Linked DNA regions of Macaca mulatta. The protein of the gene in region 1 purifies or fractionates together with the protein of each later gene. This does not show direct contact. Links are inferred from orthologs where the notes say so. Each region holds a gene or a part of one and is shown on either strand. Other genes may lie near its edges. The genes, in order: CASP3 and CRYAB.

Evidence for each region.
Region 2: the proteins of CASP3 (region 1) and CRYAB purify together in Homo sapiens (affinity purification with western blotting; 3 studies listed by BioGRID). This does not show direct contact. The link is inferred for Macaca mulatta from reciprocal best matches to the Homo sapiens genes CASP3 and CRYAB.

The regions. Positions count from the first base shown.
Region 1 is NC_133410.1:193,076,807-193,081,255, reverse strand, and holds the start of CASP3 (caspase-3), read left to right. Parts: upstream 1-1,638; 5' UTR 1,639-1,706; intron 1,707-2,381; 5' UTR 2,382-2,549; intron 2,550-2,611; exon of another isoform or gene 2,612-2,645; coding exon of another isoform or gene 2,646-2,683; exon of another isoform or gene 2,684-2,771; intron 2,772-4,449. Other genes in the region: PRIMPOL (DNA-directed primase/polymerase protein), read right to left, coding at 2,646-2,683. UniProt on the Homo sapiens protein: Thiol protease that acts as a major effector caspase involved in the execution phase of apoptosis. Following cleavage and activation by initiator caspases (CASP8, CASP9 and/or CASP10), mediates execution of apoptosis by catalyzing cleavage of many proteins.
Region 2 is NC_133419.1:112,657,491-112,661,721, reverse strand, and holds the start of CRYAB (alpha-crystallin B chain), read left to right. Parts: upstream 1-1,385; 5' UTR 1,386-1,418; coding exon 1,419-1,619; intron 1,620-2,409; exon of another isoform or gene 2,410-2,478; intron 2,479-2,700; coding exon 2,701-2,823; intron 2,824-4,172; coding exon 4,173-4,231. Other genes in the region: HSPB2 (heat shock protein beta-2), read right to left, coding at 220-313. UniProt on the Homo sapiens protein: May contribute to the transparency and refractive index of the lens. Has chaperone-like activity, preventing aggregation of various proteins under a wide range of stress conditions.

The DNA.
Region 1 (4,449 bases):
TAGTAGAGACGGGGTTTTACCATCTTGGCCAGGCTGGTCTCAAACTCCTGACCTCCTGATCCACCTGCCTCGGCTTCCCAAAGTCCTGGGATTACAGGCATGAGCCACCGCGCCTGGCCTTAAACTCTTTAAATTGTAATTCCTACCCCGAGGGATTGTTGAAAGGATGAAACAAACAAATGTGTTATGAAAATGTAAAAGCATGCAATAAACTCTCAGCAAGTTGTAACGATACATAAAACTAAGTATATTTCTGTGCAGAATATAGTCCCTATAGTCGAATAGGCGCAAGCGTTAGAAATAGGCTCTGCCATGGGGTCCCTGATCTGACTTCTGAATGTCAAGAACCTTTTGAAATCTGATGCAGAATGTCGTGCTCACGTGGTGGAGAATTCTTCTGCGAAAACGATTCACAGTTTGCTTCAGGGTCTAAAATGAGTTCATGACCCAAAATAGGAAGGGGATCAGTACGGCAGTGTATAGCACACCCTTCACGTAACTATTAATAACTCCATCTTAGGAAAAGACTCCATTTTATATTTCATAGGGCATTTGCCAACAAGGATACTATACTTTAATAAACAAGTAAAAAACTAGTCCGCATCCACTCAGGTAAGGACACAAACAAGCGCCCTCTTCCACTGTCAGTTCTCACCCGGACTCTGCCTTCGGCAGCTCCAAACAGTCTTAATTGACGCTGTCTCTGCAGAAGGACCTCTCGGGCCCAAACCAGGCTTCTTCTTCTCTTCTTCACTCCCTCTGGATTGGTTGTTCATCTCTTTGTCCTCTCTCTTTTTTTCCTCGGGATGTTAAATGCTACTTTGTTTGCTGTGGGATGCTTAACATGTAACGTTTATATATGGATTAAGTACACTACTGCGTACGGTTTGTAGTACTGACTGATGCGCGGAGTGGCTTGAGCCCGTGTGTCCAGCATGCGTGGACCTGCTTATTACTAGCCCGGCACCCTGGCGACAGGAGGCTAAGGCTTTTGATTTAGGGAGAGGGACCTGGGGGTAACCCCAAGAAAGGCCTCAGGTCACCGGAGGGGGGACGGAAATTACCGGAGGGCGTCCCGGCCCGCTCCTCTTCTTCTCAGAGCTCACACTGGGCAGCAGGCCTGGCCTTGTCTCCCTTCTAGGTCCCCGTTGGGCCTGGCGCGGTTTCCAAGTCTTCCTCAAATTACCTCCAGAATCCCGCGCTGGGAGCGGAAGCCCGCGGACTCTCAGGAAGACCCAGCTTTCAAATCCGGGGCGGGGGAGCGGGGCCGGGCCTCGGGGGCGGGCCTCGGGGGCGGGCCTCGGGGGGCGGGGCCTGGCGGGCCTCGGGGGGCGGGGCCTGGCGGGCCTCGGGGGGCGGGGCCTCGGGCGCGGGCGCGGGCGCGGGCGCGGGCGCGGGCGCGGGCGCGGGCGCGGGCGCGGGCGCGGGCGCGGGCGCGGGCGCGGGCGCGGGCGCGGGCGCGGGCGCGGGCGCGGGCGCGGGCTGGCGGCTCCTGGGGCCCAGCCCGGCCCTGGGTTCTCGGGCGGGCGGGAGCTGGGGGACGGGCCCCAGGGAGGGGGCGCGCGGGGCCGACAGGGGCGGGCCGGGGGCGGGGCTAGCGCTGGAGCACGTCCCCAGGCGGCGGGCTGCTGAAGCGGTGCAGACGCGGATCGTAACGGGTGGCTGCTGCTGTGAGGCGGTTGTGGAAGGTGTGAGAAGGCTGTGCGGTGAGTGCCGCGCTCGCTCCGGGCGGTCAGCCCTGTCCCCGCTCCCTGCGTCCTCCCAGGCCCAGCGCCCGCCCGGGGACCTGGGCGGCGGAGCCTTTGTTTTGCCACCTCACCCGGGGCGGCAGCGAGCAGTGAAGCCCGGGGCCGGGGCCGGGGCAGCCAGGCAGCGGGTTAAGGCTTTTGATTTAGGGAGAGGGACCTGGGAGTAACCTAAGGAAAGGCCTCAGGTCATCGGAAGGGAGACCTGACCCGGGGGCGGGAGGCTTGCCTGGGGCCGGGGAGGCCAGGCAGCGGGAGGCCGGCCCGGGGGAACCGAGGCCGGGGCCGGGAGGTCGGGCACGGGGCACCGAACTCCGAGGGCCAGAGACCTGGCGGCCGGGCCTGGGGCCAGGAGGCCGGGCCAGGCAGCGGGAGGCAGCGGCAAGCTGGAAAGCAGACGGTGCTACCGCCGGCGGAGGAGTGGCCCCGGGAAGCGGTGCGGCGAGGGCTGGGGCGGCCGGGTGCTGACTGTGAGGGACTCGCCCTCGGGGCTGATCCTTCCAATTTTGGGCGAGGCTTCCGTCTCTGCTGCCTTCCATGCCTGGGGCCTGGACTATCCCGGGTTGACTGTGTGGTTTAGCTCTTCCAGAGAGCTAGTTGCAGGGTTTAAAATCCAATTCCTTTTCGGCCCTGCAGAGTTTCGTGAGTGCTCACAGCTCATCCCTGTGGCTGTGTCTCCGTGGCCACAGCTGATTGGCGTCGCCTTGAAATCCCAGGCCGTGAGGAGTGAGCGAGCCCTGCTCGCGCTCGGCGCTGTTGTTTTCAGTGGGTGTGCTCTGCACCTGCGTCTTTCCCCCATTCTCAGTAAGTGGCACCCAAGCAGGAAACCGGAAAACATCCTTCTCGCCCCCCTCTCGCCCACCTACTTCTTTTCCCGCTTAGTCACCAAGCCTTGTCGACCTTGTAAACGTCTGCCAGGTCTGTCCACGTCTCTCCATCTCCACAGCAGCCTCTTCCCTGGTCTCTCCACCTCCAGACCCGCCTGCTCCTTTGTAGTCCACTTTTCACAGCACAGAGGGATCTTTATGAAATGAAAGTCTAGAAAGCGCGTCCTTTGCCCTTAGGTTAAACCCAGCACTTAATACGGCTGACAAACCCCAGTACGTGTTGGGTCCTGAGTGCCCCCACCCCTCCCTATCTTTAGCACCGATTCACTTTCTGCACAGCAATGCTGACCTTCATAGCTAGTGTCTGCCACACCTCTGCATTCCCCTTCTCCCGCCATCACATTTGATTAGAAGTAAGAGCTGCTACTTAAACTTCTGTTTTCATTAAAACAGTTCAAGGTTCAATCTTCCTCTACTGTGTTCTTTCTGCAGCCAGCGTTCCCTAAGAGAGATGTGTCATATCCTCTGCAGTTGCTTGTTTACTGTCTTCCCTGCTAGATTTGCAAGCAAACTCCAGGAGGGATGGACTTGGTTTATCTTGGTGTCCTTAGAGTCTTTCACCAAATGCGGGCCCTGGCACAACGCAGTGAATGCCCATCCGTTGTGTTTTTACTTTTATGCCCTATCTAGAAAAAGTAGACCTGGTTTAGGATTATTTAGCAAATAATAGTTAGAAAAGAAATGGTAGAGGTGACATGGAGTCACTGAAACCATGTAAACCTGCAAGATAGCAGAAAGAGGGCCAGGAAAGGTGGTTAGACTAGACTGTATCAAAATGGGCTCAGCCACTGTGAGTGTGCGTGCTGTGGTTACATCATCTCTAAAAGTGAAATGTAAAGCTTAAATCATCTCTATCACAGCCCGATGCTTGGGCTTTGGTTTTGCTTTGCCTTTTTGTAAAAGAAGGTTTTTGAAAGTGAAAATATATTTTAGTGAATGCACGAACAGTTTATTGGAGTATGGCAATAAAACCTGTTCAGAGTAAGAGACATTAGACATTGTACCTAGTTAAATCAGGTTTGCTTTTGCTATCCTGAATAAAGGCCTTGACTCTTGCCTTTTGAAGAGACTGGCATCTGATATAGGCAGTTATAATGCTTCTTCACTGTTTTGCTTTCAGACCTCATTTAACACAATCTCCTACTGCTTCATCCCCCTACAAAGCAGTCTTTATTTTCATGAATGATATATTACATTGCTTCTGGTGCCTACTATTAGATGTTTAAGCTCTGCCCCAAAGATAGGAAGCACTGGTATTTGGGCCTAAAAAAAGATGTGAGAATTCTTAGATTTATATAATGTTCTTTCTCTGCATGTTTTGTTCTTACCTTCACATGTTGCCTGTAGGGCTTCTTTGCATTACAATAATGCAATCAAGCTACCTGATATGTATTGGACACCGTCTGGCATCTGCTTTGTTGAGCCACTTTTGAATGCCAGTGAACATCGGTATAAGCCCTGCATAGAGATAGGGTTTGTCTCGTCCACTGCTTGATACACTCAGGGTCTAGTATAGTACTCTGCACACAGTTGGTGTTCAGTAAATTGTTATGGTGCAAATATCAAATGAATAGATGCTACTGAATCTGACTTTTGGCAGTTTCAGTCTTCCAGACAGTAGGGTTTCTTCAAGCGGTTTTAAACCTGAATCTGATTCTGCAAAGTAGTCATTCTTGGTGGGAGTGGTGAGCCTTTAATGTTATCTGTAATTTTTATAAAAAAGCATTCAAGATCCTCCATTTTACACTTATATAAATCATTTAGATCTGTGAAGGCTTTCCCGTTTTCTCCTTTTGTCCCTCCAAAAACACTATCCT
Region 2 (4,231 bases), on another chromosome or scaffold:
GCAGGTAGCAGCACTGCAAGCACCAAGTGTGTCTTGAGGTCAGCAGGAATGGGAAAGAGCTCTGCTTGGAGGGGATGAGAGGGAGTCTGGGGTGGGGGGTGGCTGGTCCCAGGAGATCAGTTAAGCCCAGAGTGGGGTGGAGGCCAGTAACGTTGGGAGGTCAGCCCAGAATTTCAGGGGGTGGGGGTGGGAGGCAAGGGGGTGGCATCTGTGCCATACCTTCTCCGAAGCGCTGCTCACCCAGGCGGCTCGGGTTGGCAAATTCGTACTCAGCGGTGGCTGGGTGGGCATGTGGCACTGAGCGGCCCGACATGGCTGCAGATGCAGCGGGAGCCCTGGTCCGAGGTGCAGCCCCAACAGGCGCAGCGCGACCCCTCCAGCTGCCCGGAGAGCCAGGGCTCGATAGGAGGTGGGGGCGGGGTCGACACCACCCAAAATAGTGCCGAGCCTCTGGGGGGGAGGGGCGGGGAGTGGGGGCCCTGAGTGAGAGCAACGAGGGTGTGACCAGCGCCGCCTGGACCCCTAGTCCCCTCCCCCGCACACTCTTCAGCTGTCGCAGGGGGCCTGAGAGGACAGCTGAGGGTCCTGGTTAGGAACGAGCTGAGAAGGGGTAGCTGGTGGTGCCTGGGGCATGAAGAGGCCTCGCTGAGACCCTCACAAACGGTTTGCACGTTTCCACACCTCATTTTCTCCTCCTTGGAGGCCGGCACTGTGCACCCAATTCCTAAAGCACTCCTGGATTTAATGTTCTGAGAGCCACATAGGATGAAAGATGCAAGAAATCTTTCTGCTCTTTTTTTCAGGGAGTGGGGTCTTTCTGCCCAGATGTCGGAGTCCTCTCCTAAACCCAGGTCAACCCAGGGCAGGAGGCAGATGGCTGGTACTGACATGTTGACCATCACTGCTCTCTTCCAAGGACTCACAAAGAGTTAATGTCCCTGGGGCCCAGCCTAGGAAGATTCCAGTCCCTGCCCAGGCCCAAGATAGTTGCTGGCCTGATTCCCCTGGCATTCAGGACTGAAGAGGAGGAGGAGGAGGGGCACACTCCACCGCCTGCCCCCCCACCCGCCCGCGTGCCTGCTTGGGATTCCTGACTCTGTACCAGCTTCAGAGAACTGGGGTGGGGGTGGGTGCCACTGGGTGTGTACAGAAAGCTAGTGAAACAAGACCATGACAAGTCACTGGCCGGCTCAGACGTGTTTGTGTTTCTCTTTTCTTAGCTCAGTGAGTACTGGGTATGTGTCACACTGCCAAATCCCCGATCACAAGTCTCCATGAACCGGCGGTGAGCTAGGATAATAAAACCCCTGACATCACCATTCCAGAAGCTTCACAAGACTGCATATATAAGGGGCTGGCTGTAGCTGCAGCTGAAGGAGCTGACCAGCCAGCTGACCCCCCACACTCACCTAGCCACCATGGACATCGCCATCCACCACCCCTGGATCCGCCGCCCCTTCTTTCCTTTCCACTCCCCCAGCCGCCTCTTTGACCAGTTCTTCGGAGAGCACCTGTTGGAGTCTGATCTTTTCCCGACGTCTACTTCCCTGAGCCCCTTCTACCTTCGGCCACCCTCCTTCCTGCGGGCACCCAGCTGGTTTGACACTGGACTCTCAGAGGTGAGTCTCCCCACTGCTAGAATGGGAGAGTCCTTACTGGAACCTCCTGTAAACTTCTCCATCCATTTTCCTCTCCTTTCCTGCCTAAACCATTTTAGGCACATGTGTATCCAAATGTGAAGAAAAATGAGGAGGTTGCTAGTTCCTCCCTCCCCCGTCACCTGTTTCTACTTGATGGTCCTCTGTATCCCATTTATTACATTTTTTTCATGCACTGTCAAGTTCATCCTCCATCCCCTAACTTCTCTGCAGGGTACCCCTTTCTGGTTTGGTTCATAACAATCTGCAGGGAAAGAGCTGCCTTCAAACTCCTTTGCTCATCTCTTCTAACACCATGGACTCTTGACCAATTTTACCATCTCAGGTGTCAGAGCCAGGAGAGAGCCCTGCCTCACCCTGCCTGAGCTGTTCACCCTCATGGGCATTTTCTGCCTTTTTATTCCCTCTTCTGTGATTTTCTGGGTTTCTCAGGGCTGTGACAGGGCATTGGCCTGGGTCCAACCAAGCCTTATGAGGAAACAATATAGGGACCCCCACTCGTCCTAAGAGGGTGAGAGAACAGGGTGAACATATAAGGTTGACAGAAGCTGTCACAGATAACGCTCTGGTTTAAAAATATTCGAGTGTGAGTAAACAGGAGATGAGTGGGCAAGGGCTTTGGAAGGACAAGCAGGACCAGCAGAACATTCCAGATTGGGTGGGTGGAAAACTGGCAAAGAGACCTGAGCCAGAAGAAGAGGCCTTTGTCTCACAGACAAACCACAAAGCCAGGCATCGGAGCCAGAGAGGCAGCAGATGCCAGGCCTGCACCCATCCTTGCGACTGGTCCCCTGGGTGATCTGTCTTCTTCTCTGTCCCTGTAAATAAAGTTTGGGTCTGATCACCATGAGCCTTAGGTATCACTGTGGTGGCTCCCTGAAGCAGAGAGCCATGTTTATTTAAAAAGGGGATATTTTAAAGCAGAAAAGAGAAGGATGAATTACCTGGACAGAAAGCAACTCTGCAGAATAAGACAACACCAGTATAATGAGTACTTTCGCCATCTTTCTCCCGTCCCATTCCCTTACCTTGCTATTTCTAGATGCGCCTGGAGAAGGACAGGTTCTCTGTCAACCTGGATGTGAAGCACTTCTCCCCAGAGGAACTCAAAGTTAAGGTGTTGGGAGATGTGATTGAGGTGCATGGCAAACATGAAGAGCGCCAGGTATGTAGCTTGGTTTTTGTTTTCTGCTCATTCATTCAGTGTATACTGTAATAGTCCAGGTAGTGCTATCAGCTTTGGAGGCTGGCTACATTCCAGTCCCAAGCTATAATAGTCTAGATCAGGGGTTACAAATCAATGTCTAGAAGACTAAGTTAGGGATAGACCTATTGCTGTTGTTACTGTTGTTATGGCCAGAGATGTGGTCTTTGTTTGATTTGATCGCCTTAGATGGGATGATGGGATGTTGATGCCCCATCTTAGCCAGAGGTTCTGAATCTTGGCCACATTAGAATCACCAGGGGAACTTTCAAAAAACCTAATGCTCAGGCATATTCCAGACCAATTAAATCAGAATTTTTAGGGGTGGGACCCAGGGCATCAACATTTTTTAAGGTAATTCTAATCTACAGTCAAGGTTGAGGACCACTGATTTAGGTATAGGGCTGTCAGACACCTAGTTGCTTTGCATAATTACATTAACTACAGGTACCCTAAAGGCACTTGAGTTGTGAATTCTCTGTTAGCTGTGCAAGAATCCATGTCTCTTCTTTAGCCCATCTTAATGCTGAACTACTTGGTTTGTCTAAATTTCAGAGCTGTGCTCAGTCTTTAATCCCCTATAGCCCATGCGGAAATCAGTTAATGAGAGCCTGTTTGGCTACATGCTTGAGAGTCAGCAGGCATACGGGTTAAGGTCATCTACTCTTTGGGGGAATTCTGACGAATGGAACAGCTTTTCATGACTTTGTAAGAGGGCTTTAAAATTCCTTCTCACCAATTAACGATAGCTCAGCGATAGCTCAGAACCTGTGCGTCAACCAGTACAGTTTGTCCTTAGTAATGTCCTCAGGCTGTTTCAATTTTGCTCATATGATTTAGGTTTGGGTCATAGTCTCCTTGGATGGAGTCTTTTTTTTTTTTTTTTTTTTTTTTTTTTTTCCCCAGCAGCAGTCCTATTGTTCTGGAACCTTCTGGGACATTCCTGAAGAGTCAGGACAATTTCAGGGCTTCCTCAGGGACTCAGATTCTAAATGAGATTCCAAATTCTGTAGGCCCAGTCAACATTATCTAAACCTTTGGGAAATACTCCTAAACATATCTATGCCTCAGGGTTTGAAAAACAATGAAGTGTTGTACTGTTTCAGACTTCTCAGATTCTCACTGGTAGGAGTGACTACCTAGGTAACTTCATCTTAGCCACAACCCTGAAACAAAGCACTGTTTATTTTTCCTATGTTGTCATGGCATTTGGTCTCACCTAAGGGGAAATCAGGATGCCTGAGTTCTGGGCAGGTGATAGTAGTTCATATTCTTATCTCTCTGCCTCTTTCCTCATTCTTTTGGGTTAGGATGAACATGGTTTCATCTCCAGGGAGTTCCACAGGAAATACCGGGTCCCAGCTGATGT